2 linked regions of the Coturnix japonica genome follow. The protein of the gene in region 1 interacts with the protein of each later gene in a biochemical or structural test. Links are inferred from orthologs where the notes say so. Each region holds a gene or a part of one and is shown on either strand. Other genes may lie near its edges.

Region 1 (15,738 bases):
CCTTGGCTAAGCCAGCATTTATTTTACTGGCCTGAAGGAAATGAAGGATTCTTCCTGGCACTACCAGCTTCCCTCATTGGTGTGGGTTAAGATGGTGCAGGCAGCAGGGAGGAGGAGAAGGCTGCTTTCCAGGCACCTCTGCACGTGGTCCTCCTTGATAGTGTTCCCATACAGCTCTGCCTCGCGGCGGGCCTTCTCACCGCAGGACTGCAGGAAGGTGTGCTTGTTGCGGTGCAGGTAGTCCACCAGGTCCCCGTAACGGCAGTACTCAGTGATGATATAGATGGGCCCTGGGGGAAAAGAGCACTCATGTCATCTTTACTTGGCCCTGTTTGCTCCCTGGGGCAGTGATTTTTGTCCCTGAGGGCCATTACTGGATTGCAGGATGTGAGGAAAAGCTGCCTTTTGCTGGGACTGAGCATTGTCAGAACTTGTTATTTCTGTTTGGAAAGGCAGGGAGAAGACAGCTGGCATTCAGTTACCTCCTTTGGTGCAGGCCCCCAGCAAGTTGACAATGTTGAGGTGAGGTCCCAGGTGGCTCATGATCTTCAGCTCGGACATGAGAGCTTGCTTCTCACTGCTCCGGGCAGTGGCTGTTGGGGACAGTTGATGTGAGTGGCAAGGTGAGGAGTGAGCAGCTGAGCATCATCCAGCCTTGTGGTGTTGGGGTGGGAGAAAGGGACAGTGTAGGAACTTACACTTGAGCATCTTGACTGCTACTTTCATGGTGGACTGGGAATGGCTCAGGCCATGCGCTGTTGCCTCCACCACACGTCCAAAGGCACCAGAGCCAAGAGTGCGTCCTGCGGAGAGGTGAGGGTGATGTGATCATTGAGGATAGGAAAGAACAGGACCTTGGGAAAGGCAAGTCTCTTGTCTGAAATGGCACCAGCCACCCTGATGAGAATGGCAGTGGTGGAGAGGGAGGATGTTTGGCACTGTAAATGGTCTGTGACTAATTAAGAAGGGAAGGAGCTGCCAGCCACAGGGAAGGAGAGACAGGAATGACCATGAGCCTCATGCCAAAGGGAGCAGCTAGCTTCCCAAAGCAGCCCCAGATGGTCCCTCTGCTGCAGGATCACCTCATGTCCCAGGGATCTCTGTGCCCTGCCTGGGTTGTTCTCTTCTTGAGATCCCAGACCCAAAACCATCACCCCAAGACAGACAAGGTTCATCAGAGGGACCTGTGGAGCCTTTACCTAACACCAACATGTCCCTGGGCACCTCCCAGCTGGAGTCATAAGGGAGCTGCATGGGATCCACATAGATGTACTCGTGCCCATCAGAGCTCACTGACTCGATCACCTTCCAGCGGATTTCATAGCGAGGTTTCTGGAGAGGGGAGCAAAGAGACAAGGGAGATCTGAGAAGCTGAAGGACAGGGAGGGCATGGGGCCTGTGGATGGGTTTTGTTAGGGAGTCTTTGACCTCTGCAGTCATTGCCACCTTCATGTCTAGCCTACAGGTGGCAGGAGGCCAACAGAGTCCCATGATTTCCAATATGGATGGAACATCATCAGGTAGAAGCTCACAGCTTTGCTCTCCCCATTCACTCTGACACATGGGTACCACTGCAGCAGCCTCCAAATGCTGCCCTTTTTTACCTTCTGCCACAGGACGATCAGGATGATCAGGGAGATGACAGTGAGGACCAGCAGAGCCAGGATGACAGAGATGATGACCACTTTGAATGGCAAGGCTACAACAGTAAGTACAGGGTCAGCAGTCAGACTCTCACCCCCACATAGCCCAGCACAGAGGGCTCCCTCCCTCCTCTAGCCATCGTCCCCTTCCTGCTACACACCTCCCCAAAAGACATCAACCCTGAGGGGTAATGACAGACTGATGATCCATCGTGGACCTTAAATCAGGTCCACACATCCATCCCAGGCTGTCCTCTGGGCTGGAGTCTGACTGGGGACAGTCCTGTCCTCTCCTCTGGGTCAGACCTTCCCAGCTGAGACCTTCCTCTCTGTTATTTGGGAAAGCATGTAGTTGTTTGGGTCTGTGGCACCATCTAGTGACCCTCGGGCTAATAACAAGACACTAGGGGACCTGATCAGTTCTTAAGTCCCTGGAGGGATAGCCCTGCTCGGGAGTGGGAGCAAAATGGCCATGGCCAGTGGGCACGAAGGCTACAGATTGCTCTCAGAGCAGCCTTTCCCACTCAACACAAAGGAGGCTTCCTTTCGGGCAGAAATATCCAGGCTCTCTGCCTGAGGACTGCAGCTATCAGAGGACACTGCTGGCTCCCAGCACCTCCAGGCTGGAGGCACAGAGAGGAAAGTCCATCTCCCCACCTCCGACTTGAACACCTCCTGCAGTGCTCACCATTTGGAACCAAAGTGATGTCTTGGAAAGTGGTGCCCAGGGAGTTTTGCACGGTGCACCTCAGGAGCAGGGGTTCATCCACCCTGTGCAGCTGCAGGGTGCTGTTCACACGGAACACCTGCAGCTCTGCATGGTACGTGGCGTTGGTGTGCAGGCCAATCTCCGCAGAGTTGTTCCCCAGCAGCTGGGTGGGCTGCCCCTGGTTGCCACACCTGGACCAGAGGAGGATAAAGGCACCTAAGGTGCAGCCAGACCCACGTAGCACCATGGGATTTCCAACTGCGTGGGCCAGCAGAACACAGTAAAATAAAGTGTCTATTGTTTCTAAAAATGCATGAGCCCTGTCATTCCTATGGGCTCCATCTCTCTGCTCACCATTTGATGTTGCTGCACGTGGACCAACTGATCTCTGGCTGGGGCATCCCTTCAGCAGAGCATGTTACAGTCTGCTCCCCACTGCTGGCACTGCTGTTTTCCTTGAGATTCACCACTTTGGCTGGCACTGAAACCAAGACACATTGGTGGGAATTAATCCTCAGTGTTGAATGCAGATGGGGAAGGAAGGAAGTTCTCCTAGATCCTCACTGTGACACAGGGTTGATGTGACAGTGAAGTAAGACTTAGAGGAAACGTGCCTTATTTTTGAAACTAAAAGCAAAACCAGAAAGGGCTGAGGTGATCATGGAAGACCACAGATGACCCTATCTATTCTGCTTGTATAGCAGAGGAACTACATAAGGACACCTCTGCATCTGCAGATGCATCTGCATCCTTGGGCCAACACTTGAAGGCTGGTATCTGCCCTGCCTCCTTGTTTCCCTGGCTATAAGACCAGGTGTGAGATATTTCAGGCAATCTTTGTCCTCACTTTAATGCTCTTCTTTTGGCCAAAACCCCCCCTGATCTGTAGTCATAGGTGTAAAGGCTTCAGGCTGAGAATCCTGGAGCAAAGGATGGAGCCACCCCCTGGGACTACCCCCACAATCCTTGGCCCCGTGTCTGCATGCACATCCTCACCATTTATCTGCAGATGGAAGGACAGCTCTTGTGCATCGTCCTCATTTGAAGCTCGGATGGTGTAATATCCTCCTTCCTCCTGCTTCACACGCACCAGAACCAGAGATGTCTGGTACCTGGAGAAGACACAGCCATAGAGTGCATGCAGGAAGGTACCATGTAGCTGACACTGCTTGGAAGGGACCAGCTCCCACACAACTGAGGAATGCACAGAATCCACTCACAGGAAGGTCAGCATTCAGCCACCATCCCGTGTCCAACCACCATCCTGTGCCCAACCACTTTGTGTTGTGAATTATTCCCTCCCTGTCCTCTGGTTAGGAGTGATGTGCCCTCACCTGGTTTCTGACAGGTTCCTGTTGGTGATGGTGAACTCGCTGCTGCTCTCCATGGTCAACGTCTTGTTGTTCTTCAGCCACACAATGTTTGGCTGTGGGTAGGCCTCCACATCCACCTGGATGATGTGGCTCTTGTGGACCTCAGCATACACCGTGCTGGCCAGGTGGGTGTGGAAGTGCACAAAGCCACGCTCTGAGAAGAGGCAAGAAGGATACAGGCTTCAGGGAGAGACACAGTCACCTCTCCATCCCTATGAGCTACCATGGGTCTGGGATCAAACACCCTGAAGTGATGGAGCAGCTCCAGGTTCATCCCTTTAGGTCTCAGGTCCATGCCCAAGGGGAGCATGGGGGCGTGCTCAGAGGCCAGATAACATGCAGGGAATGGGCTGTCACCTTTCAGAGATGGGCAGCTTCCCGCAAAGGAGCACAGGTGTAGGTGGGAGGTTGACTTAAGAACACATTGGCACTGCACAGTGCAAAAGAGCTCTCACACAAACCCTCAAATATATTAGAGTCCCAAAATCTCAGATGGGGGAGTTTGGATGTGTCAAAGCCAAGAAGTCGGCAGGGATGCTATGGGGTGAGGGCTGACTTTTTGCCATGGTTAATGAGGGTGGGGTGAGAAGGGGAGGGAGCTGAAGGCTGTGCAGAGAGAGGAGTTTGCCATTCTGGAGCAACACCCATGTGGGTTGCTGCCTTTGAGAGCACGGTCAGTGACGCACCGATCACTTGGACCGTGATGTCTTTCCGGTCTGTTTTCTCATGGTAGCCCTCAGAGACATTGCAGACGTAGGTCCCACTGTCCTCCAGCTCTGCGTTCTGGATGACGAGGATGGAACGGATGTCATGGCTGGATCCTGGCAGGAAGTCGGTCACTGGCTCCACAGCCTTCCCTGCCTGCACAATGGGGACAAGAGATACTGTGTGTGAAGTCAAGAGCATTTCATGCCAATGGAGGACAGAGCCAGGCTCACGGGGAGGGAGGAGAAGTGGGCAGACCTTGGTCTGTCTACAATGGGGACAAGGAACATGCATCAAAAGCCCCTGAGACAGCCAGCCTTCACACAAGAATCTCCCCACTGAGCCTTCTTGAATGGCAGCAACATCTTACATCTGCCATGACATGAAGCTTCCTGAACATTGCTATGATACTGACGAGTGACTGCCATGGGACACATGGGCAAAGGCTGGGGTTGGTGCACTCACCTGCTTGCGGGGATAATCCCAGTTGAAGTTGACCAGCTCATTGCCGCTGACAGTGCACATCAGGGTGACATTTTCTCCCTGACGCACTATGGTCTGCACTGCACTGATGGAGACGTTCACGGATGAGACTGTTAGAAGTGTCAAAGGAAGGGATGATTAATAAAGGAAGAGATGAGCAGACACCCAGTCCATTTATCTTAGGTGGACTTATTCACTTGAAATCTCTTCTATGAGGTATAGATCTGCCACTTTGGCAGGACCTGTTCTTTAACAGAGACAGGGTTAAATCCAGCCCTTAAATTGATCAGGGATATCACAGGGACAGGAGGAAAGCTTTTCTATCCCATCCCTATTGTTTTGAAAGAATGGCCACAACAGCTACAGAAATAAGCCAAGATGAGGGCAGCTCACCCTGGATCCTGTAGACATAGAAGGTGTCTGAATCCACCTCTTGGTCATCCACGATTGCTTGGCAATAGTAGGTCTTGTCCTCAAAGAAGCCTTTGAAGCCCTGTTGTGGGTCATAAACAGCTGGAATGGGATTCTCCACTTTCTTTTCATAAAGGGTCACCTGCAGCTCTGGGTTGGTCACGCGGCATGGGATGGTGGCCTCTGTGTAGCCCGTGATGAAGATGAAGAACTCTTCGGAAGTGATTGCAGGGAGAAAAACTAAGGAGGGATCTATAAGAGAGAGGGGTACACTCATTACACCACGACCTCTCCCACTGCTTGCTCCAGCGTGCCACACGTGGGCCTTTCCACATAGAGACAAGGATGTGCTGTCCCTTACCTGGAACATAGATGTAGAGAGCTTTCCTCTCTGCTCGCTCTGGAGCCTGGTCGGGGCTGTAGAGACACGCATACTCCCCTGTGTGACGGCCTGTCACGTTCCTGAGGGTGAGGTTGCTGACGAAGACCCCGTCCCTGTGCTCCAGCACAGCAGCGAGAGGCTGACCATCCCTCTCCCAGACCAGTGCGCTGTCCCCATAGCACATGAGGGAGAAGGTGCTGTGAAGGCTAAGGACGAGCTCAGCATCTTCAGGTTCGATGTGCAGCCCACTGTCCCCAGACGTTACCACCAACAGACCTGGAACAGAGGAAGAGGTGAGAGCACATTGGACATCTCTGAAATCCAAGGACTAGTAATGCCCAGTGTCATCAGGAGGTGAGGAATAGGAGGCTGGCCTGGGAGGGATTCAGGCACCCACTGAAACAGAGGGTGCAAACAGGGCTGCTGTGCTGCTGCTACACCAGTGCAAGGGACATCCTTGGCGAGGACAGGGCTGGAAGCAGGGGGACCTAGACATCTCCCAGATGTTTGCTTGTATACATCCCATGCACTGGGCCTGAGGAGCTGACAGCATATAGTCCTGCTGACCTAAAAATGAGCTGGTCTAATAAAGCAGAGGTAGGTCTCAGCTGCATCATCAGAAGCTCAGAAACGCCATGCCTTGGTGGGCAGGGGGAGAAGGAGATGAAGGAATTAATTCCCTGCTCTGCTGGCTCCCTCTTTACAGAGATAGTGCTAGACATGACACAGGCTGGTCTGAAACAACATTTAAGAGAAAGCGAAAAAGGAATGAAAGCAAAGCCTTGCAGGAAATCCTATGGAAGCAATCGAGCAGGCAAGGTCTTCCTGAACAGCTTCCCATGTCTCCTGGCCTTTATGCTTCATGCAGATGTCCCAGTGGGGCTGGGAAAGTGCACACGCTCCCCCACAGTGTCTCTGTGGATGGGGTTAGGGTTAGAGTAAGGGTTAGAATTAGGACTGTGTCAGCAGAGCCGGTAGACCCAGAAAGAACGGATGCAAGCAGTGCAGCCCTCTGCCTCCCTGTGCCATTGCCCATCTCCTCATCACCCCGGTGATGGAAGCATCCCCAGACAGCTTCCCCATGAGGGGCCGAGTCCCCGATCCCATCTCCCTGGGCCACCACTCACCAGTGAGGATGAGGAGCTGCAGTGATGCCTTCAGAGAGGGACAGAGCATGTTGGGCTCCACGGCCCAGTGGCCCAATCCTGTTAGGAACAAAGCAGGATTAATGCAGCACCACAGGGCTGAGGGTCCCCTCTCCACCTCCCCACTCTCCAGTTTTCAGCCTTTCCCTCCTGCTGCTGACCTGGCTCTCCCTCGTGCTGGATCTGCTGAAGGAGCAGATCTAAGGCATCTCCTGCTGGGAAACAGGGACTGGGCTGGAGGCTCCAGGAGCTGTGTCAGCTCTTGGTCATCACAGCTCAAAATGCCTCTCCCCAACCTGCAGAGCACTGCCTGCCTCCCTCCCTCTGCCTTTTTTCCCTATTAGTTTTCACTTCCCTCAGTCCCAATGAGATAAAACTTGCTAAAAAACAGACAACCCCTCCAGTCCTCCCACAATTTCTGCTTCTTTCAACAAAAGAAAATGCATCCAAAAACATTCCCCCCCCCCCCCCCCCCCCTCGTAAAGAACCCCCCCCCAAACCAGAGAATTTCTTCTATTTCAATAAATATGCATCTTCAGGGAATAATTTTGTTTTAAAATCCCTTTTATCAACATTTCTCAAGAATTCCTTTCCATGGAGCATGCCCAGCCCTTCCTGATGCAAACTGATAGCCCAAAAGATTCAGGGCCAGAGCTCCCTAACAGCACTGGAGCCATCCCCTACACAACAGGGTGGCAGGCACAGAGTGGGCTGTGATTCAGGGACTCCAGAGCCAAAGCTGAGGTTCAGAGCTCTCACATCTTGAAGCTGCTCCCAAGGCAGACCCCATGGTGAAGCCCCCCAGGACCCTTGAGGGCTGGTGGCAATCTGAACTTAGTGGCCCAGCCCCAGGCATTGCCTCTTACTGAGTGGGTCTGCTGCCTCTTGGCCCTGAAGTGCCGTCTCCCTTTGCTTGATGTTGGGAGGAAATGGTTGTTAAATGACGTGCACTTGTCAGATGTTTTTATTATTCTCTTGCTTTGGCTCCAAATATTTAAAAAAAGAATAAAGAAAGCCTGATCTACCAGCAAAACCCTCCAGGCCTCCAGCTTACTCAGCAGCTTGCCTCTCCCCCTCCATAAAGCCCCTCAGTGACTCCTCTCTTCTGCATTTGCTGGGAAGGAAGACAGCTCTTAAAGGGAAGACCTGGGGGCGGATGGAATGAAAAGGATGGAGGGGAAATTCAGGCTGTAAATGGACACAAGCTGCCTGTCAGAGAGGTCCGGTCCCACCAGCAGCACCCCGGACTCTGTAGGATCCCTGCCAAGCAAACCAGTGCTCTGCTGGATCCAGGCTGCAGCGAGAACCAAGAGCTCTGCAGCCTCCGCCTGCTGCCGCTGGCTGCCTCCCCAGCATTCAAGGCTGGTTTTAATAAAAACGCTGGTTTTGCAGAAAGCCTTTTCTCTCGGAGATGCTTCCTGAGCAGAGTGGGAGGGTGGCAACATCTCGCGAATAGCTGTGACCTCTCCCTTGTTTGTCTGCTCCGGTTGGGGTGAGAGGCATGCTTGGAAATGCCGAGCTCTGCTTGCTCTGCAGAGCCTGCTCAGCAGACAGACAGACCTTCCTCTCCTTGACACAGCAACGTGTGCTCGCACACGTGCACAAACAGGCATTTCACAAAGGGATGTAAATGAACCCAGATCTCTGCCAGCCTCGATGATGTTTGTTTCAATCCTCAGCCTCAGATTCTGTTATCTGCAAGAACACCAAGATGCACCCTATGAGTGCCAGACAACGACCCGAAGTGAGAGTGACGCTACCCAGCCATCCAGAATCAGGTACACAGATGTGATCCCATCCTTGGACCCAAACATCATCACCTACACAGTGCTCAGATGCCATGGATTATCTCCTTCCAGCCCCACGAGTGAAAATGGGGTCACAGACCTCTCAGATTCTTACACCCTTCCCATGGACCAGCAGCTGAGCAACCTTAACTATGGGACATCCCGTGGGCAAGATCCCCACCCTGCAGCAATGCCAGCTCCTCAGCAGGCACCAAGGAGACATCCCAGCTCCCATCACTGTGCTGAGACCCTCCACAGCCCCTCCTCCCTGTTGCAGTCCCCAAGTGCCAGCACAGAACCTCCCCCTGCCCCTCTCTGGTGCTGTGACACAAGGGCAGGCTGGTCGTTTTCTCTTGAGCTGTGTTGTTTATTATTCTAAGAGAGGAATTTGGCTGGGAGAGGAGAGGGCGGCCATCAGGCTGCGCTTGGAGAGCAGGAGGTGTGAGGGGCAGCTGAGGGCCCTTGGTTTGTTCAGCCCAGAGCCAGGAGGTTGTGGGGGGACCTCACTGCAGCTCACAGCTCCTCATGGCAGCCTCAAGGATGCTGGAGGTGGGGAAATGCCAGACCCAACCTCAGCTGGGGATGGTCTCATCCCTACAGAGGGAGGGTCATTCCTCCACCATCTCTGCCACCTCTCCCCATAACAGTGCCTTACTGACGATCTCAAGCTTCACCAAACCTCATTCATCTATTACTGTTCCTCCATCCCAGACCTGTATCTTGTCTGAACAAGAATGCCCAAAGCACACTGTGCGGACTCAGCCTTGAAACCCTGTTGGTATTTGACAGGACAAGGGGGAGTGGTTTCAAATTCAAGAGAGGAGATTTAGACAGGATATAAAGAAGAAGTTTTTTTACAGTAAGGATGGTAAGGCATTGGCACAGGTTGCCCAGAGAGGTGGTGGATTTCCTGACCCTGTGGACACTCAAGCACCAGGCTCAGAGCCGCTGATGTGGGTGTCCCTGCTCATTGTAGAGGAGTCAGACCAGATGACCAGCTTTAAACCATGGGACCAAGCAACACCCTTACCATTTGCTACCCACTGCCTGAGCACTCCTTGACCACATTCCTTGCCACTCACCCACAACCAAGCAGAGAAACTACACAGGGGTCCCACAAGCACCCCCAGTGCTGCAGGAGCTGGGAAGCAGCCTGCCAAGATCCACACAGGGAAGGGAAGGTTCTGCACATCCTGCAGCCCCACAGCTCCTTGAGCAGAGCTCAGCTCCCTGCGACCCACAGCCCACCAGCAAGACGTGTTGCTTGCTGGAAACCAGGGTGCAAAACCCTTCTCAGCACAACCAGCTGCCCTCGCTTTTCCTCTCTCTTTCCATTTGCAGCCAGGCTGCGATTCCCGGCGCTCCCACTGTGCTCGCTGGCCCCGCGGTCCTGCCAAGCAGGCAAAGGACATCTGGTGTGAATTAGCGGGAAGTTAAACACACTTTATTTTTTCTTTGTCTAAACTCATCTGAGTCATTAAGTGAGATCATGGATGCCCGCGCGCAATGAGAAAGCCCTGCATGGATCCCAGGATCGATGCCCAGCACAGCCATAGTGTGGGGGCTCCTCCTGGCCTGGGGAGGGGAGACATCCCACCCCATTTAGAGGGGAACAGCTCCCCAGGCAAAGGTTGCTGAGACCCCAGCATTGCTTGTCCACCAGTGAGACTCCCTGGCCTGTCCCATTTCCCTCTGCCACCCTCCCCCCGCCTCTGCGACTGCTTCTTTCCCACCCTTTAATCTAAATAAAACTGAGCTTTTTTTTTTCCCCCTTGGCTGGAACTGGCTGGAGTTGCAACATCTCTCCTCTGGGGTCCCTCGGCTCCCATGACACCGCATTTACTCACAGGCCAGATTATCATCACAGAGCCCTTTTTTTTTCCCAGCACATGGCTAGAATTAGGCAGCGCGCACATGGGGAGCCCGTCATCCCCAGCCTGTAAACAGCCGATGATAAAACACAGAGGTTGGAAACCTGAAACTGGAGGGACTGGGAAGTCCTGGGGGTCCCATGGGCAGTCCCTGGAACACAAACCTCCTTTTGCACATCAGCCTGCAGATGCAAACGTGGTCCTGATGCTTTACCCCTGTGCTGATGACACTGAGGGATGCTCAACCCTAATATCCCTTCTTTCCCCCTCTGGTTTAAGCCCATGGGAGACAGAGGAAATGAGTGACCCATCTAAGCACAAGTTCAGAATAAAATGAAACATCTGTTTGGAGCTGGGCCAGCGTTATAAATAATCCCCCAGCCTTGAGTGTTGGTATTCGTGGCCCTTTGGGTTGCGCATGCTCCCCCCGCTTCCGCTAATGGAAAGAAGGCCGGGCACGGGGCTGCTCCCTGGAGCCAACAAACCTGGCCCAGGCTGTGGGAAAACCCTGGGAGGGAAGCAAGGGGCTCAACTGAGGTCAGGAAGGAGGGATGGGATGCCTTGCTTTTTGCTTGTTGGTCACCTGGACCAAGCTGTGGCATCACACACTACGCAAGATGCTTGTGTGAGCAGTGGGATCTGCTGAGCCCCAGAGCTCACTCCCTGCAGGCAGTGACCCCAACCCAGGGGTCCAAATGTGTCTCTCGGGAGCATTTCACGCTTCTCCGGTGCCCCCCTCCACCAAGCTGCCCAGGGTCATCCTCCAACTCCTCCATCATCCCTGACAGTAAAGACATCTTAGGAGCAAACACCACAAGCAACGTGAGCAATGAATGTGGGTGCAGTGCCCCCAGCCCACAGGGCAGCACCCAAACAGCTCCTGGCATCACTTCATTGCCAGCCCCAGGAATAGATGCCTCCAGCCATGCAACAAAACCTGGGAGCTGCTGGGTAGTGGCTGCTTGGAGAGCAATCTGTCCCCTCTGTCCTCAGGCTGTAACATCTGGGTCACCTCGGGGTGTCCCCATCCACTTGCCTGATGCTTTTCCAGCTGTGTAGGGGTGGAGAGGATCAGGGGAAGATGCAGGGATGAAGGCACCTCAGGCCTTTCCTCCCTCCCTTGCTTCAGCAAAGAAAGCTAAGTTCTTTGCTAAGGTACGTGCACCCTGTGTCCCCCACTGTGCTGGTCTGGGGCCAAAGGTCCTGGATGGCTCTAATTAACCACTAACCAAGGGGAGAACAACAGATAGAGACATCCCCCTGTGTTCTGCCTCCCAGCATTGCTGCATCCCCAGCCCCACGACCCTGCAAAGGGAGAGCAACCTGATCCTCAACTGAAAATGTCCATGAGATGCGGGTGCTGCCAGGGAGGAGGAAATAATTCCCGTGGCTGCATCGGCCCTTCTCTTCTCCGCTGCCTGCGAGGGACCCGAGCTTAATCACTTTGTTCTGGGGTTTTAGGCTCTCGTGGCCAGGATTAGCCACATGACAGCTCTGTGGTCGGGGATGAGGAGCAGGACCCAGTGTGTCAAAGGCAGCAGCACACGTGAGGGATGGGGCCTGATGCAGTGCCCTGCTGCTGGGGCTGATCCCGCACCCCCTGCTCAGACCCAATACCACATCCCCTCTCCTTGCTGCAAAGCAGGGACAAGCTGCCAGCTCCCTGTGCTGCAAGCTGGGGCCCACTTCACAGAACAAGAGAGAACACCCCAGCTTCTCTCTGCATCGATGCTCTACAAACACCTCCAAAACCCCACGAATCACACAGACCCACCACCTGTTCTCTCCAAACCCGGCTTTAAAATCACCAAGTCCTACGCCTGCCAGAGTTTGCCTTCCTGAATCAGACCATATTCTCCCCATCCGCTCCCACACTGGAGAGAGAAACTTGGCAGGAGAGGACGGGACCCTCTCAAGGAGTGCCCTGAGCAGAGCAGGGTTCTGTTCTGCAGCCATTCGCTCAGCAAACCCTGAAACTGAGGTGACTTTCAGTTTGCAAGTGGAGAATGTGCTTTCAGAGAGCAGAGCTTGCAATGGTTTATTTTCTGCTGGCCCCGATTCAGCCAAACCCACAAGCAAACATATTTTTTTGTATAAATAAGACAGTGTGTCTCGCCAGTTAAAGCAATTCAAACATGAATGTAGCAATTTAATTGGTGCCAATTACTGTGTCTCAGTAGCATTAAGATTTCAGTCACAACCTCCTTTGCATGGCAGACGGGCCAGGAGGGGGAAGGAAGAGGGAGAGCAGGATGGGGCCCTGCTCCTTGCTGTAGTCCACAGGGGATGCAGGGAGAAGTCCCCATCCTTAGCAGGGAAGGCACCTCCTGCACATCTATCCCTGCTTTGCAGCAGCACCGCACACCTCCTGCTTGCTTGGCAGCATCATTTCTGTGCGAGATTTCATGAGGAATATTGAAACGGTTGTTCAATATTCCACAGCCTGTGTCCCAGAGATGAGGAGAAAGAAGAAGGGTGTAAGGGCCAGGACATCACTGCCAGCATCCCCTGCTATAAGGAAAGGGACGGACCCATGGGACCCCCCTGACCTGTCCCAGTGCCCCTCTGTTCATCTCTGGCACGTGTCCCCATCCCTGTCCCAGCTGACTCTGCTCCAGGAAAGTGCTGCACTTCCAGGAAGGGCCGTCCTTGCAGAACAGGACAGAGGTGCGCTTGGCTCAGGGGATCCTAATTAAGCAAGCCCTAAAACAAGCCTCATTATGCCCAATCAGCCTGGCAGAGCAGAAGAAGACTTCTGGAGGCACCCCAGCCCCCCAGGGAACAATCCCCGACCTCTACCCTCCCCTCAGCTCCTCTCCAGGGGATTTCTTCCCCTCATTTCAAGCACAAACAAACAGACTGCACAAAATGCCCCAGCCTACAGTGATGGGATTCATCCAGCCCACTGGTCCCCAATGTGTCCCCAGCTCTGGGCCAAAGGCAGCACCAATGCCACCACCAGTGGCTGAGGGCCAGCAGTTGTTCAGCCACCACCACTCCTGCTCCCTGCCCTTTGCTGCTGCATGCAGGGAGATGCTTGGCCATCCAGCACTCATCCTATTTCAACTTGGCATCTGCTGCTGGAGAGCATCCCCTAATGTTTGATCCTCACAGACACTTCTTGCCCTAATCCCAGGGATGTTGTTCACTCTGTAACACTACTGTTTGGGATACTTTGAGAACCCACCAAACTGGAGCCTGAACGATACCAAGAACTCATTGCCCTGCTGCAGCACCCATGTCCCCCCAAACCTGCAGTGCTGAAGGTGCTCTGCCCACCAGAACTTAGTCCTGCACACCACTACACATTGACCTTTTCCTTTGCACTCCCCATGCACAAATACTTCATGCTACCATTCCAGCACCCACCCCTATTTAGAGCCCCCTCCATCAGCCCCCTGCAGCCTTTTCTGCATGCTCTGAGCCCCTTCTGTGTCTTCCCCAAGTCTTTCTCCCATGTCCATCCCTCAGCACTGCTCTGCGCTGGCTCTGCCCCCAGCCCTGCTCCTTCCAGTCCCACAGGAAGCACTGCTGGTTTCCCCATGCCGCGCTGCAATCTGGTTTGTGTCCAAAGCCTCCAGATCCTTTCCCACAGCACAAACTGCCTGGGCTCTTCTCTCTCAAGATCATGTACAGACATTTAATAGTTCCTCCCAAAGCTCAGTGGGCTGCTGCTCCCAACCTGCTCGCTCCTCCCCGAGGATAAAACCACCCCCCTCTCCATATTGCTCATGGGGAGATGCCCAGAACTGAGACCAGTAGGACCCCCCTGCAAGCACTCAGGACATTTGGTGGCTGTTTCCCAACTGCAGCCCTTAGTGCTGAACCCACTGCTTTCAGCTCTTTGCCTGATGCTTTAGCAGAAGCCCCAGGTGATCCAGGGCAGGGATGGAGCAGAAAATATCCCTTTGCACCCCCAGCTGCACCTCCCTGCTGGCAGATGAGCACAGGAGCAGGATGCCCTGTTTCCACAATGTCTCCAAAAGTCCTTTTGTGACTCACAGCACTGCAGGACGTGCAGACCAGGCTTTGCTTCAGACCTACCACCACCTGATTGCATTGGAGACCCCAAGGACAGCTGAGTGATTGCCCACACTTGTGCAACCACTTGGAGAGGCCCACCCTGAATGGGTGCAAGCACTGAGCACAGCACACAGATGTCCCCTCCGTGCTGGCCTGGCCCACAGGGATGGGGGGGCCACTAAGAGCAATGAGTGGAGAGGGGTGGCACCAGCTGTGTTTGGATGCATTATTGCTGCTCTGCCTGATGCAAGCATGGGGTGAAGCTGAGCAATGCTGCACACAGCAAGGACCTGCATCCCTGTGCCAGCCTCCTGCAAACCCACCCTGGAGTAGTGTGGAGGTCAGCAGGAAGCCCCTGCTGCTCCCTGCGATGCTTTGCACCAAACTCCCCATGGTTCCTAGATGGGGCAGTCAGGCCCTGCAGCCGGCATCCACTGCACCCAGCTCTGCTTGCAGCCCCTGCCTGTGACAGCACAGTGGTAGTTCACTGGGGACAGGCAACAGCCCTCTGACAGCCCAGCACATCACAGGGAAGGACCTGAGGCTCCCCAGGGATAAGCAGAGGTTCCTCAAGCCCTGCCACAGCATCCCTTGGGGGAGTAGAGGGGAAGTTACCCAATATGGCTTTATCCATGGGATGCCACCACCCTCCCAGGGCTGGTGGGCCATTTCAGGGTGCCAACCCCCACGTTATCCCCATCAGCAAAGCCCCTTCAGGGGTCCTACATCCCACCCCGGCTCCCTGCCTTACCTCACGTGGGGTCCCAGCGGGTTAGTGCCGCTCCGCGCGTCCGCAGCCGCCCCGAATTCCTTTCTCTCCTCCTCCGCTCTCTTTATCTGCAGCCTGCGGAGGCTCTTTGCCCTCCCAGCCTTCCCCAGCTGGCAAGGCTTCCCCGCATAGAGGAGAGAGATGAAGGGGAGGGGGGTGGGCTGGGGGGAGGAGAAAAGTAAAACAGAAAGGGGTGTGGAGGCTGTGCCAGCGCTGGGGCAAAGCCAAGCCGTCGTGCTGCGCCCTCAGCGCATCGCAGCCCCCCGACGTCCAGCGGGGCGGTGTGCGGGGTTAAATACCGCAGGAGGAGGGGGAGGAGCGGCGGGGCTGCCCCGCAGCGGAGTCCGCCACTTCCTCCCCTCCGCCCTCTGCGGGACTCCGCTTCGAGCCAAACTTTCGCTTAAAGCCCAACGGAGCGGCGGGATGGGGAGGGATTA
Region 2 (16,508 bases), on another chromosome or scaffold:
ATGAACTTCAAAATAGTCTGTAATATTTTAATGCAGCTGTGACAATACAGTTATGATTGATAACTCAAAAGAACACATTCAGTGTAACAGCGTGCTTTCAGTTTGCTGGAAGAAGAAATTCAGAATCAGTTCAAGGTTTGGTAGAAAAAATAACCGTCCTGTCTATTAGGGACTTCAAAAAAAATCCATCTTCCCTTTTCTAGTTTTTCAGCTCAAAAATATTTCTAGAGATTGGATTTCAAACCGCAGAGTCTGAAAGAAGAACATCTTTTGATTCTGCAGGTAGTCATGTTGTCTATCTCATGCGAAAGCACCTCGGTCTCCTTTCTCCAGTACTTAGATAAGCCCATTGGAATCTGAGCCTAACTCATATGCCTACTGCATGCCAGCTAGAAAGGCCAGATCCTGACTTCATCTCTGTGCTGCTTATTTCCCCCTGTGCCCAGCTGTGCAGAGCTACCCTGCAGAGGTGAATTCCCCTCGCAAAGAATTATGCAAACTGAAATAAAGATGACAAACTTCCCCAAAGAAAGGCCTTCTTTTTTCTTTTTTTTTTTTGGTTTAGTTTAAGATGCACATTAGGGACCGTGGGAAGGGAACTGCATTAAACTATAGATCTACAGAAAGTGAAACTCGGTTAATCAGGTACAGTCTACTTTGCAAACAGACACTGCCCTGGTATCATGACCAGAAGCAATTATGTTGTTTTATATGGAGCTCTAAGACTGCTGTCAGAAGTGTCTGATCCTGCAAGGAGGCTGAAAGAAAACCGGGACTTAGAAAACATAATTCACATATCACAGAAGCCATATGCTGCCAATAATCCCCTAAGTCTACATTCTGTAATAAATGGATGATTCTACATGCAGTATCAAGAAAACATGAGAACTCCTATGCTTGTTTTCACTGGAGAAAAATAATAAAAGAAAGCTGAATTTCATGTCCTAAAAGGATGCTGCCGATTTAACATCGTTCATTTCCTCCTTGATTATTTATAAGTACATGAAGCTCCTGCAGTACAAGCCAGAACAACTGAGCACAATCACAGCAGAAGGAAAACCCAGGCTGTTGTTAAACTTCCTTACTAGCACAACACAATTTTGCATACGTAAATGTAATGCCTACCACAGGCACCCGTGTTGTTTTGTTTTTTTCCTTCACGCCAGTTTTCTTAACAGCGTCACAGTTTAACGTTGAAAAGTGCACTGAAACCTTGGCACACCCAGTGCTGTGCCAGAAGCACTGGCAAGGCTGAGTCACACAGCTACACTCTGCTACGGCAAAACCAACGTGCACATCTTCCACCTGCACTGCAGAGCGCATGGTAAGAGCTCAGTGCTTTCTCAGCCAAAGCTACGTCTTGATGTCAGAAAGAGCTGTCAGGACATAAAATACTGTTTACGTAGACTGGTGTGCCCCAACACTAACCTGTATCTTTCCTTGGCCACTGCCCCCTGCCCCATCACTTTCAAAGCATCCTCCTGTCTTACAGGGAGCGCAGAGCATTCCCAGTCTGCTCCTGGGCACCCTCCTGCCGTTCACTGGGCTCTGGTGACACATAGGAACAGGTAGCTCAAGGAGGCTGTGGATACCCCATCCTGGAGGCATTGAAAAGCCAGGCTGGATGTGGCTCTGAGCAGCCTGGTCTGCTGGCTGGTGACCCTGTACATAGCAGGGGATTTGAAACTGGATGATCACTGTGGTCCTTTTCAACACAGGTCAGTCTACGATTCTATGACTCCAGCGACAGAGTCCCTAAAAATCCCAATTTGAAAATGAAGACTCAAAATCAGGTATGCAGATATAGATGTGCTAATAGTGACCTGCTCGTGTGGGAACCTAAGAAGATAAACATAGAAATGTATTAAGAAGTTAACAGAAACAAAGCACATGAGGAAATAATGAGAGCTCTCAGCTTAAGCTTCTCAGTAATGGGGAATGAAGAAACAAGTCACCCACATTCCTGTGAGAAACACTCTCCAGAGCCACCTCCCTCTGCAGACACAAACCATCAGCAAACAAGCAAGAGCTGTGTTGGCATAACCTTGACCAGGGCTCTTCATAGATGTATGGATTGTTCCCTGTCTTACCACCCATCTAAAAATTTGTCCAAAACTATGCAAGATTCATCTTGATAAGCAGTACAAAATAATTCCACTGAACCAGTATGAGTAGAGGCACCAGAAGATACACTCGAAGCCCTCAGAACATGCCAAGCTATGCTCCCCAGTAACAGGAACGAGCTATTTCACAAAAGCCGCTTGCACAAATAACCCCTTTCTAAGGAGCACTCCTGATGAGGCTCGGCTCAACTTGCAACCCTTTGCAGGCTTGGCAGGTAACAAAACCAACCTCTGAGAATATTGCCAAAAGGAAGTGAATAATTAATCTGTGAAGGCATCTCGTAACAGAGCCATCTGTGTTTTTGATACAGACTGTAAAATCCTAACAAGAAAAAGCTCTCAGACACCTACGTCTCACCCCTCACCTGAGCTGAGGCAGCAGAGAGCTGCAGCACCCCCAGGCTCAGGTGAGAGCAACACACAGAGCCAGGACCAGATGCCACCCTCACTCATTCCTCAATGCAACAGTGTCAAACAAGAGAGCTAAGAGACAGCATCTGCTTACCAGGCTACAATAAACAGACTGCAATTTACAACAAAGCTTCAGACCAAGGGTCAAGTCTTTCCTTGATGATTTTATAGGCTTAGAAGCAGAAGTTTCTTACCTTCAGTGGGGGTGGAATTTCACAGAAATTATTCCTTATGTTCTGTCTCTGGCCCATATGGCACACAGTAAGAAGAAAACAGTACTATGGTATGTAGACAGCACTGTCCTGCGCACCACAAAACCAAACCAATCAACCAAAAGACCACAAAGTCTTTCCAATAAAGAAAACAGAAAACCCCAACATTTTTTAAGAGATGTGACCAAAACATTGCACACATTGAGAGCTCATCAATGGCACTGTGGGTATTTCTTTTACTCATTTAGTTTGGTTAGAACAGTATGAATCAGTCAGAAAAGGCAGAAGCACACCAAACAAATGGGAGGTAGAAGAAGACAGTGTAAAAGAAGCTAAAAATAAGGGAAACTTCTTGACATGCCCCAGCACAGGGTTCATTTCAGATGCAGGCTTTACTCTTCTTGCCCACAAGTGGAGCACGGTTAAGCAAAGACCAGTTAAAGCCCCCGCAGGCTTGGTACTGTTCCTACTTCTGGATGTAGCTGTAGTTACAATTTCCACTACCCAGAGACACAGATGAAAGCACAGTCTCTTTTTCTTCCGTTACATTTCTAATTTCTGCAGGTGGAGACAGAGGCTTTTTTACGTGGCCCAGAGTGTCTCAGTGGGAAAAGAGTGACGGCTGCACTACAGGTTTCTAATAATGACAGGTTCTTCCAATTGGCTGATGGTAGTAGGAAAAAAAACATAAAAGCATTCAGTGAGGTTCCAAATACCAACAGCATCAGACTGTGACTGCTACAGTTTTGTGTTGCCTGCCTTTTCCAACCAGTGCTCACCAGCAGCTCAGAAGATAACTAAATGAGCCATGACTTCATTGATTCAACTCTGTTCTGACACGGATGTGTCCATTCTTTGCTGGATTACAGAAATACCTTTCCCACTTGATCTCGGGTTTTCTCCAGGAATTTTGGTTTAGTAGGGGCCTGTTCAGCTGCAGATACATTTGGAAACAGCTGGAAAGCACTCAGAGAAAAGCCTTTGTGCAGTTTTTCAGAGCATCTGTTTTGTTCTTCTCTTCCTGCACACACTGATCACCTCCTTCCCCACACGTTGCTTTCTAACGTTTTGCATTAGCACACGCTCACCTTCACTTGCTGTATCCCACCACAATTAGAGTCCTCCTCTGCAGTCATCTGCTGAAATCTAATTTCCTACTGATGGTTCTATTTAAGGCAAGGATCTCTTTCTCCAGCAGTAGGCCCTTTCTGCTGAAGAAAATTCAGCTAGCTCCTCCTATCCTCCCAGTGACCTTTAATGATGTTCAGGGTACTATTTACATTCAAATTTTGGAGTCTGACAAAAAGCAGTCACATCAGGCTAGCAACCAGCTGTGCCGCAACTGGCTGATTCAATGGCTTTCCTCTCCTTTGCTCACAGAAAGAATTTTCTTTCAAATAAGCAAGAAAGCAAGAAAAATGACTTGAGATGGGTTTCATACCTGAAAACACTGAATTCCCAGTACCCCATCACTCTATGATACTGCTGAAATACTCGTCCTATGATACACTATAATTCCACTAGGAAGATGGAGGTGCACAAATTAAAGTGGTATGGGTTAGTAGAATCCAGCCCTCCGCAGTAAGCAACCAAAACATTTAAAACAGTAGCAATTTCTCTCATATTTAGTAACTCCAACCAAAAAAATTTACATGCCATGAAAATCCTCAACAAAGCCTGGCATGTAGCTCACATAATTGAGGAAGTACTAATAATAGCGTGGCTGTTTGCACAGACAACATTTCCACTGTGGGCCTGAATTCAGATCTCTAATATGCAGAAGATATCTTGTTGTGCGTTGCTGGCTCGAGACTAAAACCCAAGTATTGGAATCCAACTAAGCGTGCTGCAATATGCAGGCACAGCACACATCCACTGCACGTGGAAAGCAACGCCTTTATTGTGTGCTATGGAAGGTGTTCACACTGTCCTTGTTTTGAATGTACAGACGCTCTTGAAACAAACCTATACTGCAGCTCAGTACAAGAATGGAAGTGCATTTCAGCATCAGCCATCAGTCAGCACAGAAAACAACCTGTCCTGACAGATAAGAAGTACGTTTCCAAGCTCCTCTGACACAAGCGAACACAGTTCAGAGACACAGCTTCTCATTCTGCCCTACATGTCCTGACTCCAGGCATGCTCAGGTCTCCAGATCAGGGATGCCCAGAGCTGTGTTGCTAATGGTGGTTGTTAAAGGTTTTACTTCAGAAGTCTGTCCACAGCAGCAGGTAGGCAGCCTCATACTTCTCAAGCTTCAGTCTTTTTCAAAGCTCTAAATAGGTAAATCTATGACAAAGTATTTGCTAAAAATTTCCATAAACTGCATTTATTTTAACATACATTTTTTCTTTTATGTGATGAGGATTACTTAGAATAATTTTACTAAAACTAAAAGGTAGATTTTCATCTAATAGAAGGCTCAACAAGGATGATTAACAATGACCAACATACAGTGGAAAGAAATTGACGTGCAACACATACATAGCAAGCGCACATTTTAACATGATGGTGCATCATTTAAACCCCTCAGCTGGACATTCAAATCAGCAATTAAATCATAATCCTATGCAATGGATTCACGCAGCATTACTGAGACTTTCTGTGCAGGAAATACATGGTAAGAGCAGGCCATCAAGGCTTGCATAAGAAGCATTTGTAATTCCAAACGAAAAACAAAAATACTGGAGCTTAAAAGTCTACTACTTTTGAGCAGTGGATGTTACGTTGCCATCTCACTAACAGGACCATTTCCAAATCACTGTCCCACACAAAAGCACAAAGCTAGGTTCCTTCCTTTTGTTTTTATTTTTAAGAAATTCCAACCTTGACCATTATTTTGTAACTTCTTAAGAAATTAAAAAATAGGGAAGATGTTTATCCTTGAGTAAAAGGCACCACAGAAAGATCATATGCCTGTCACACCACTGAGAAGCTGCTGTGACACAGCCGTTCCACAGCACGGGACGTTTCCCAGCCCTTGCGTGTGCTGGGCTGACAATGCTGTCTGTGTTAGGAGTGCTGTGCCCTCACCAACCCCACCTCTGTCATCTGAGGAAACACAGAGGCCAGATCCAGCTGAGCCACCCGACTCGCTGCCTTTCCTCTCGTGGGCTCATAGGGAGGCTGTAGACAAGGGGTAGTTCTCAGTGGCAATGTGTGAGGCCTGCTCATGGCATGTGCCTGATGGTCCCACCAGCTGCAGCCTTCCTCAGCCATCAGCTGGGTAACTCCCTACGTAGTCCCAAGCCACATCCCTACACCTGCACACACACACACACCACACCATGAATGACATCAGCCTGCTCCGACATCTGCCTCAACCTGTGCCAAGAACCCAACCACAGTAAGAAAAACTGTTCTCTATTAGATGCCATCCTGACTTTTAAAGGACAAGAACACATGAACACCATTTGGATGGAACAGGCAGCAAGACCAACCACATGTTGAGCAATCATTCCCTCCAAAGCTTTGTTCTGCACCCTTATTGCTGGCATTAATATATTAAACAAGCCTATCATGCACACGTCACCCCCCTTGAACCACAAGTGCCAAACTGAAATTAAGCTAATTCAAACAAGAGAATGATTCCTCACAACCATGCCATCAGCAAGGACTCAGTTCCCACCCCTAAAAGGCTTTTCCCCCCCGCCATCTCTCTCAGGAGACCAAGCAGTTGCCCCTATGGATAAAAACTTCCCAAGGTGCTGACAAGTATCAAGAGGGCAGGTGTGGCATAAGCCTTCATGTTCACAGGTATGTCTAACATCACAATCAAGGCCGTCAAAACCTGCTGCCTTCAGCACTGTCAGACCATGACACTGAGATTTCCAAGCCTGGCACAATAGCAAAGCAGAGATAGAACAACAGTATTCCATCATCCAGGTGACTACAGAGCAAGGTGCTCAAGCTGAATGAAAGACAAGGAGGAAGCAATGATTTAGGATACACATCGTCTGCAATCATGAGTGAGTACCAATGTGAGACTGGAAAAGAAATAGCTAAAAATATAGCAGTGGTATAATCCTATTCTGTGACTGTCAGGGTGGGACTGAAATATAAGCCGGGGGGAACTGTCACCACAGATTACCAAGCACTCTGGTCCATACCCACACACACTCACACTTCCATAGGAGAAGCTGTTGAGGCAGAGCAGCCCAGCCAGTATTTCTGGAAGCAAAAGTTCAGTGAGCCCTGAAACATCAGAGTTTGCAGCAGTCACAGTGCATACCTATGGCAACGTTAGAAAGTCATTAGCCAAGATGAGGAGGGGGTGAAAGTCTGTGCCATGCCACGATGGGCGCGTCACCTGGCAAGGGACTGCGACTTACATCACCAAAAGGTGTTCTTGGAAGAACGGCCGGCATGTGCTCCGGCACCGAGGGAGGAGGCCTGAATGAAGCACAGCCGTGCTGACGGAGGCCTCCGACTGACCCGCAGCCAGATGCTGCCAGGTCCGCTCCCTCCACGCCCCGGCACGATTTTTCTGTGCAATACCCGCAAATCACTCTCGAAAGCCATAGCCCAGCGGGCGACGCGCATCACCGGCACGGGAGAAGAGCGAACAACATCGCTAATGAACCAGCGGGCTCGCGACCGGAGCAGGCTGCAATACCGAGCGAGAGGACGGCAGCCGTCCCCGCTTTCCGTAACGCAGCTGCCGGCGAGGCGGACTCCCGCAGCACGCTCCGCTCGGGCTGCTCCGCCGGCTCCCGCCTCCTCCGCATCCCCGGCGGCGTGGACGAGCGGCCGCCCCTCAAAGCGACGCCGGGCGGGGCTCGGACCCCGTGGGGAGGCCGCCGCCGGCCCCAGGTGAGCTCCGGCCCGCGCCGCGGCGCCCCCCGGCCTCTCCGCGGGCGGCTTCGGCGGGACAAAGCCCGAGCCGCCCGCCGGCCGCACACCTGCCCGCGGCCACGGGCCTCCCCGCGGGGGCAGGTGCGGCGCTCGGGCTGCGGGCAGCACGGACGGACCCCCGAGCCCGAGCCGCGGTCTCACCTCGGCGGGCAGCAGCAGCAGCAGGAGCAGCGGGCAAGGCGGGAGCAGCGGCAGCAGCCTCATGGTGGCGGACAACGATCCCCGCCGCGCACACGGCCGCTCAGCCCGACGCCGCCTCCCCCGGAGACATGGCCGGGCCGCGCGCCCCGCACCGCCCGGCGTCCCACCCCTGCGCCGCCCTCCCAGGCGGCGGCGGCGCCGCGCCCTCCCACTCGCGCTCCGCGGCTGAGGGCGGAGCTGGGAACCGCCGCCACCCGGGGGAAACCCTGCGCGGGGCGGGCAGGGGGGGGCGGAAAGGGCCGCCTCCCCCAGGCCTAAACGGCCCCTCCTCCCGGCATCACAGACCCCGCCGGGACGGCCGAGGGAGCGGCAGCCTCCGAAAGCTTCCCGGAGCCCGGCATCGCCGAGCCCCGTCACTCTGATAACCCCGATTACTGCCCGGGCTTCGAGCGCTGCTCCGAAATTCATTCATTTCAGATAAGTGAGAAACACGGACGGTTCCCTTTGGTTATGGGAACGCTGTCTTCACTTCCTCGCAAGTTTGGAGTTGGTGCGGGAGGAGGACATCCCTTCGTACCAACAAGACTAGGAGGAAATAGCCAATTACTTTCAAAATCCTTGGGACACACTCAAGTGAGGAAACAAGCACTATATGCAACCCATTCATAAAGCTGTCTTATCTATCCTATCCATTCAGAACGAGGCACACGGGAATTACCGTCTGGCTGAAGACTCTTACTGGTGAACCATGCAGCTGCCAGAAGTCTCACTGGCTGTGGTGAAGTTGTTATGCTGAGGTTACCTCAGCAGATCAAACCCTACAATTTGGAAATTCCACCTCTGACTCAAACCCCCTGGTGTGCCTGCAAAGAGCCCCGGTGGCTCTAAATTGCTGAACTGTAGCTTCTGCCTGGGCAGAGTTTCACTTGCATCTAAAATACAACCAGCTACCTTGACAGCTTCAGATCCTGGTTACGCTGTGGGACCTCACTTGAGCAGTCATACTTGATCATCCTCAGCTCTAAGAGTGAGAACACTGTGGTGTTTTTAATTGCACGCCTTTCCAGTACAACAGCCTACCAACTAACCCAGCTAGTGCCAAAATTCAGTGAGAATCCCTCTGCTGATTTAAGCAGCAGTGACATCCCACCCTGAGGAGGGACATTAAAAACGAAATGCACTGAGACAGCAAGAATTGGAATTCTGACCTGTTCAAATTTATAAGAATCCTGAAGTTGGTGTTCTCATCTGCAAACATCTGAGTATTCTCTCATTTTTCTTTCCTCTGTAGGCCATATACCCCAACTTTGAAGTTGCAAGTGTTGCACTTCATATGCTACATCACTCCCTGGCCCCAGAAACTGCTCAGCTGTATCATTCCTGCAACAAACCAAACCTCTTTTGCCAAAGCATGTCTGTCTGGATCCAGTAGAGCTGGTGGAGCTTTTCATGCACAGCCTATACAGAGTTCATGATAATCACTTTTTCATAAAATACTTGTGGCTGAGTTCTCACAACTACTCCTATGTCCAATACCTGACAGAGAAGGCCTATGAAGTTTTGGGAGAAAGTCTCATCATTGAGGCATGCACAGTCATAATGAACTAAGAAATTTAGGTGTAGCGAAACAGAGTAGTTCTGGGATTGGAGTATACAACTTAAGTGCATATAATTAACTGTAACTGTAACCAGTGGCCTTGCCGTTGCCATCGTTCCTTATAGAGTGAGGTTATGCTGGAGTAGAAAGAGTGGGAGAAGTGTGTACGGTACAGTTCTTAGACCTCAAAGGACTAACTACTTTCCAGAAGCATTTCTTGTGTGCAAAAACTATTCATCTGGCATTATGATGCTGCCTGCACTGAAGAAGCGAGCAATCAGGATTCACTGATAGTTGAATAAGCTCAGATATGCTGAAGGTGGCCACAGTATGAAGTGCCAAGAAATATAATGCACTAAAAAGTGTAATTTTTTTGTAACAAAACAAAACAAAACAAAACAAAACAAAACCCAAAAACAACCAAGAAGTGCGATTTCTGTTTTGTTTGTAGCAAACTTTTGTGTGTGCAGCAGCTGAAGAAATACTTATCTCCCTGGGACTGTTTAAAATAATTGGATGAATATTCCTAGCTATTCTGATAACATTTTGAGAGCTCCACGGAGGTCACATGGACCTGAGAGCTTCCTTGGATCAAGGCCTCTGGTCCTCGCAGCATGCTCTGGTTGAATGCTGGCCGTGCAGACCACGGGAAAGAGCTGGACAGCAATGAGCTGCAGATTCATGCCAGAATTTGGGAGTTCACATGCTGAAAATGAAAAAGAGAAATTAAAAGCCCAGGATTTTTTATGAGTCTTCCTGTTGTTAATTGTTGAGCAGCAATATCCATCACAAACAATAATTTCCCAGGAGTTAGAGGCTCAAGTTTGCATTTCAGGCTACGGGCTCTTCACAGATTAATACTAATCTGCTGGAAATTCCCTGCATTACAACTGCGGTTGCCTAAGTGTTTCTATAGATAAATTTTGTTTATTCTACAGGCTTATATGAAAGCTTTGTGTGTCAGGATTATAAGAACTAGGTTGGTGTTGCTCCCAGGCTAGAGCTTCTAGTGCACTTTCATCCACAAGTTAATTTGTGCGTCTGAGTCATAAACGTCTTCAAAAGGCAGCATCAGAGGGAAGTGTTTTCACATCCTTATAATCAAGTTTTTGAACAAGAGACTGAAGTTTAAAAGTGGCCTTGGGCTCTTGCACACAAATCCAGGAGGAATGTGCAGGCGTATTACTTATGGGTGCTATAGTTTATACAGTAAGGCGTATTACTTACACTCCAGGCAGAGAGAAAGAGAAGACTGCAAAAGTATACAGTAATCCAAAGCTGTCCAATTCAGAGCAGTCACCCTGGCTGATAATATCTGTCTTTCATTGAAACTGGCAATTAAATAGTTTCTTTAAAAATAAATAAATAAATCAGCACAGCTATATTTAACTTCATCCCACAGCCAGCCTCCGTCACAATAGCATATTCTCATTAGTTATTCACAGTTTCATTCATCAGCTTGATGCAGTGTCAGCCAAAAGAGGCATCAGAATGTTGAGCATCATCAGGAAGAGTGTGGAGAACAATGCAGAGAGCATCTTTTTGCCAATATACAAAACCCAGGTGCACCCACATCCTGTGAGCTGTTCCGATCTCAGCATCACAAGAAAGACATAATGGACATTGGGAAGGCACTCAGAAGGGCAGATAAAATAGCTGATGATGGTGCAGCTGTCTTACATGGGGAGACTGTCACGGGTTAAGCGAAAATCTACCTGCGCCCATGACAGGGGGGCAGCTGGCCCACAGAGACTTAAAAAGATAAGGTTTCTCAACTGAGAGGAGAAAGCTACTTGGAAATGGGATGGATGAAAAACTGTTATTCATAAATCCCACCTAGAACTAGGGATTGCTCACCACATAGTGTGAGACTGGCTTAGAACAAATAAAATGAAATGCTTTTTTACATAGCAGGTAGTGAACTTGTGGAATCTGTAGTCATGGTAGGTTTTAAAGACAACTGGTAGAAGCAGGTCCAAAATGGATGTAGGCAAACTCATGAACAATGTGTCCATAAACAGGGAAAGGGCAGAGATGAATCCATAACATCCCCAGTGTATGACAGTGGATGCTAGGAATGGACTTGAGACAGTGGTCAGGTTTGTTTGCTCTTCCTAAACAGCACCTTCTAATGCTGCTGGGGGCAGGATACTGGGCTGGCTGGATTCATCAATGCCCTGACCTAGCAGAACATTTCTTAGCTGCTTACAGTAGTAATGTCCAAAACAGAGCCTTGCTGTAGGACAGTGTTGTATAAACACGCAGCACAAAACAGATGTTAGCATTACTTGCCATTTAAGTAGGTAAGATGGGGAAAAGGTTGGGGAAAGAGAATATTGCTATTGCCATTAGCAGAGAGGAAACACTCCGTGATATGATTTCAGACTGTGATCCAAGAAATGCTGTGTTCTTGGTTGCCATTGCAAGTTCACAGATTCAGGCAAGGTGGGACCTGTGTTACTCACACAGAATGACAAATGGTCTTCTGACCCATCTATCATTGCTCAGGGCCCTTAAGCTACATACATTCTGGGCATAAAATTAGCAATCATCCTTGAGAGCAGAGCGATGTGTGGAAACAAAGCTGCACTCACATGGACAAGGTAGAGGTGTGAAAGTTTTCATGGGTGCTGTGGACTTTCCAGTCTAGCTGCAGGCAGAAAATGAAGAATCTACAGCAAATGCTGAACTCAGCAGCAGCTGGGATGGTTCTACCATTAGAATTGATGCTGAAACATCTCAGAAGTTTGATGTGGATATAACCTGGTTTCTGCTCACACAAGTTCTCCACAGTCTGTAGCTGCCAGAGGTACTGACTGGGGACTGCTGTGCGGTATTTTAACTCCTAAGCAGTACATTTGCTTTCTCTTTATTCTCAAGGAATGGAAGGCATACTGAGCTACTGTCATGACCATCTTGAATATGGATGGTAAAACATGAGCAGAGGGAACATTAAAAAGCACTTTCTGAAAGACAAAAGTAAAATTCTGCATCATAGGGCAGGTTTGCAATGATTTAATATTGACCACGGGAGAAGATGTGGACGGGAGATGGTTTGCTTGGTTTTTCTGCACTTTGTTGCCACAATGGAGGTTAGCAAAGAGAACAACATGAAAAAAGCTTTTATTTTTAATAAAAAAAAAAACAACAAGAAACACCTCACTTTCAACAGGCTTCAAAGTGCAGAAACTGAAAGTAACTTTCAGAGGTGGGAAACACCTTCAGTCAATCTATCATGCTCATTCAGCGGCCAGTTTCCTGTGTGGGAGGGGAGGTGGGTGGAAAGGATATCTTTTACATAATAATTGAGAGGAAAATATGCATTAAAAACCCACAGACTAACACACTCCAAAGCATCTGCGGCATCTGAACTACTTCCATCACAACAGAAGATGTTTTGTAAGTGACTGAAGTTCAAAGAGACATCAGACTTAAAAGCAGGTTGTCTTCTATGCAGCAACAAAATGGACTTGGTTTCAACAGGCATAGAGAAGAGGTTCTGGTCATATAGTTTGTCTCATGAATGCAATCCTATGTAGGCTTCATACAGGAGTAATATCATGGGTTGCAAAGGGCTGCTACTAACACAATAAGCATACATCAGAATGTTTGCTACTCAGATACCATGACAGAATCTCCATAGGGAGAACCAAAGGGCACGGCTGTAACTCAGCAGCTCCATAAATGAAGGACATATATATAGGATGGCATGTGGAGCAAACAGGCAGTGACTGGCAAGAGTGGGAAATACTGAGCGTAGCTGGGATTCTGGGCAGCAAATAGAATAACTTGCCCTTCTCTTCCACCTTACCATTTTCCCCCCTCATCAATCTCCTGCTTACTATTAAAATGCATCAGTAGTTTTCAGAATATGAAACTTTAGTGGAATCACTTTCAATAACTCTAAGATTCTCAAGAGAAACTGTCACCCAGTAACTGACACCTTACAAATGGAATAACATAAAACTAATTTCCAAAGCTGTGCCAGAAACCTATACAATACCCGAGTCTGCTGTACTGAACAAGTGAAATCACTTGTCAAAGAATTATAAAATCCTTAGAGTTGGAAGAGACCTTTGAAGGTCATCTATTCCAACTCCCCTGCAGTGAACAGGGATGTTACAGCTAGATCAGGTTGCCCAGGGCTTGATCCAACCTTGAAAGTCTCCAGGAACAGGGCATCAACCACATCTCTAGGCAACCTGTTCCAGTGCCTCACCACCCTCACTGTAAAATATTTTTTCCTTATATCCAATCTAAGTCTACCCTCTTCAAGCTTGAAGCCATTTCCCCTTGGTTCTATCATCACATTGTACAGTGTAAAATATCAGGTGTGGATACGACTGGTGACTTGTCACAGGACAGTAGAACAAGGCAGTGGCTGGTTAGACTCTACTGTCCAGAAGTCCCATCTGCCATAATCCCCTACAGCAATCTTGCCATCTTTAATAACTGAAGCTTTAAGGAACTTGTTAGCAAAACCTGTGGTCTGTGAAACCACTTGCCAAACTGACTTATAACTTCAACAGAACAAAGATTTTAGAATCTGAAAGCTGACATTTCTAGTCACAGATGACCACTCAAATCCCAAAGTGATAGATGTCAGTATATTTAAGAAGGAACAAGTTAAAAGACTTATAAATCAAATCTGTTGAAATCTATAGCAGAATTGATGAGCTTCCTTTTCCCTTTTCTTCAGCACTCCAAACTAGAAGGCATGGGGAGCATCATCTGAATGCAAGGATTTTATGATGTCTTTTGTTCATCTTCCCAAGCAATACAAATAGTGAGAGATAATGCAAAACTGCAGATGTTTGCCAAGGATGATGCATCTTAACTGACATAAGAAAAAACTTTTTTTTTTTTTTTTTTTTTTTTTTAATATCCTACGTGATTAGTTTTAATAGTCATTCAACTCTCTTGTTCCATTGCAGAGATTGCCCCTCACACTGACAGAGGCACATTGTCTTGTACTCATTTCACAAACAGCACTGAAGCATGGATTTTTTTTCCATTGCACTCTTTTTGTCATACTGTAATCATGCAGCAGAAGCAGTTATTTGAGCAATATTATTACTGACTGGAGCACAAGTGTCCTGTTTTACATACAGCCAGTATTGTTTTGCACAGATACCAGCTTTAAGCTGGACCACTCTTGCTTTTTATGTGAGTATACAAGAAGTGTCAGGAATCAGAAAGGTAAAAAGCAAGGAAGTTGTGAGTGAGTCCCTGGAGTGTTGGTGTTTAACACAGGGATACCAAGATCACCCTAAGCCTCCTTTTTGTGGTTCTTGGGTGCTTCTTACTGTGCTCAAACCCCTATAAGTTGAGTTGAGGTGTTTTCAAACATCCTGGCAATAAAGCCTAAGAAATGAGCTTGAAAAGGGATGGCAAGGAGGCTAGGAGGACATCTGCCTGGGGAGAAAACAAGAGCTGACAGAAAATTATCAGCTCACGTCACAGCTAGCATGGCTAAATTCCCGGGTTCTGAATATGCATTCCTGCACTTGTGATTCTAATGTCTGATCACGTGTTCTGATCTTGGTCTATTTACTTGCCTTGTCTGACTGGAAATGATGTTATGGCAATAAGCTGCTATTTGCTGTGGCACCACAGCCCTAATCATCCCACAAGACATGCTGAGACTTAGCTGGCCAGATTCTTATACCAGCATTTCAATTCTCAATAAGACCTGAATGCCATGTTTGCTTATATTCCTTTCTAAAATTCTAGTTTCTGTTTTTAGACAAGGTTTTTTGTTTGTTTGTTTGTTTGTTTTTGTTTTTTTTCCTAATACCTATTTTCTTCAGAACAAGAAAACAAACTAACCTGCTCTCTACTACTTGATCCATCAGTGTAATATATGTGATGCTACTGTGCTACTGGAAAGAAGCTCATTATACTCTAGCTGAAATAATGAGGACAAAACAAACAATGAAGTACTGAAACTGCTATTCCCTCATGTTCTGATAAAATGCAATTGCATAAGAACAAACATGACAGACCAGCAGATTGCTTTTTGCATTAACATTTTCAGCCTGTGATGCTTCTACCTGCAATTCCTTAGATAAACAATGCACTCTTCTGCTTCTATTTTGCAAGAAAACAAGTGCCCAAAAGTCTAGGAAGCCACATCAACAACTACAAATAAATCCTTTGTGAGGATCCATGCCACAGAGGCACAGATCCCTTAGAAACTGATAGATCGAACACAACTTGCTTTGACAAGTACTCACCAGCAATAGACAAGAAGTGATTTTACAGCTATTTGAAATCTTTAAAAGGCTGGGTGAATATTCTGCTCTCCTCAAACTGAAAGCTTCTGCTTTCTTTCTTATGTGCCTGCATGAATACATGCTGTTGCAGGATACAAAAATGTGATCATCTGCTATCTTCTTACTTGTTCTCCTTGCTGATCTCCACAGAGCTAACTAACTCCAAAGTAAAATAGTGCAGAAGAGCAATGACAGTACAGACTATATTCTGTGTCAGATAAGATGCAGGAGTTTTTCTTCTCGTCCCCATGAGTGATTGGGTAAGGAATTGTAACTCATCTGTTCTGTTAGTTGAGGACAACCCAAATTAAGAACATAATTCCTTTCAGAGATATACAAGTTCCTCATCTTCAGCAGCGCTTTACAGAAATACAGACACATTGAATTATGTCACTGTAAAGCCACCCAGCCACCAGTGAGAGATTAAACAGGGAGAGAATGGAGTGAAGGGCAGGCAGATAGGAAGGGTATGGCAAAAAAATTACTGCCTTATTTCTCCACAATACTCATATCTCCAGGAGATACCAAAGCAAGGAAATAAAAGTTTGAAGGGACTCACTAGGAAAGTAAATCAGACCATGAAAAACTTCATCATGAAAACTGCAAGTTGAAAGAAGGGTAATGCTGAAGCCGCTCTGTTTTGCTGTCGTTATTGAAGGAGTACTGCATTTGTTACCTCACCCCACCAGCTGAATAGTGGAGGTAGGTCTCAATCCACAGCTGTAAGCACTGGAGCAGCAGTCATAAATAGGTTGCATGGGTGTCCCACTGGACTGTACTGTCACCTTCCACAAAACATGCAGTCTGAGGCTGACACTTTTGGCTTGGCCTGAGTTGTTCACTCTCTTGCTGACTTTTTATCACTCCAAGAAGGATATTAAATGTCTGATATAGG

Evidence for each region.
Region 2: of the proteins of PDGFRB (region 1) and receptor-type tyrosine-protein phosphatase eta, one has a biochemical effect on the other in vitro, tested with the Homo sapiens proteins (2 studies listed by IntAct). The link is inferred for Coturnix japonica from reciprocal best matches to the Homo sapiens genes PDGFRB and PTPRJ.

What each region holds. Positions count from the first base shown.
Region 1 is NC_029528.1:4,809,883-4,825,620, forward strand, and holds the start of PDGFRB (platelet-derived growth factor receptor beta), read right to left. Parts: upstream 15,681-15,738; 5' UTR 15,284-15,680; intron 6,912-15,283; 5' UTR 6,883-6,911; coding exon 6,834-6,882; intron 5,983-6,833; coding exon 5,686-5,982; intron 5,577-5,685; coding exon 5,307-5,576; intron 5,024-5,306; coding exon 4,896-5,023; intron 4,587-4,895; coding exon 4,412-4,586; intron 3,880-4,411; coding exon 3,687-3,879; intron 3,465-3,686; coding exon 3,349-3,464; intron 2,834-3,348; coding exon 2,707-2,833; intron 2,544-2,706; coding exon 2,332-2,543; intron 1,700-2,331; coding exon 1,605-1,699; intron 1,333-1,604; coding exon 1,200-1,332; intron 804-1,199; coding exon 699-803; intron 594-698; coding exon 483-593; intron 291-482; coding exon 137-290; intron 1-136. UniProt on the Homo sapiens protein: Tyrosine-protein kinase that acts as a cell-surface receptor for homodimeric PDGFB and PDGFD and for heterodimers formed by PDGFA and PDGFB, and plays an essential role in the regulation of embryonic development, cell proliferation, survival, differentiation, chemotaxis and migration.
Region 2 is NC_029520.1:16,578,044-16,594,551, forward strand, and holds the start of receptor-type tyrosine-protein phosphatase eta, read right to left. Parts: upstream 7,906-16,508; 5' UTR 7,805-7,905; coding exon 7,742-7,804; intron 1-7,741. UniProt on the Homo sapiens protein: Tyrosine phosphatase which dephosphorylates or contributes to the dephosphorylation of CTNND1, FLT3, PDGFRB, MET, KDR, LYN, SRC, MAPK1, MAPK3, EGFR, TJP1, OCLN, PIK3R1 and PIK3R2. Plays a role in cell adhesion, migration, proliferation and differentiation.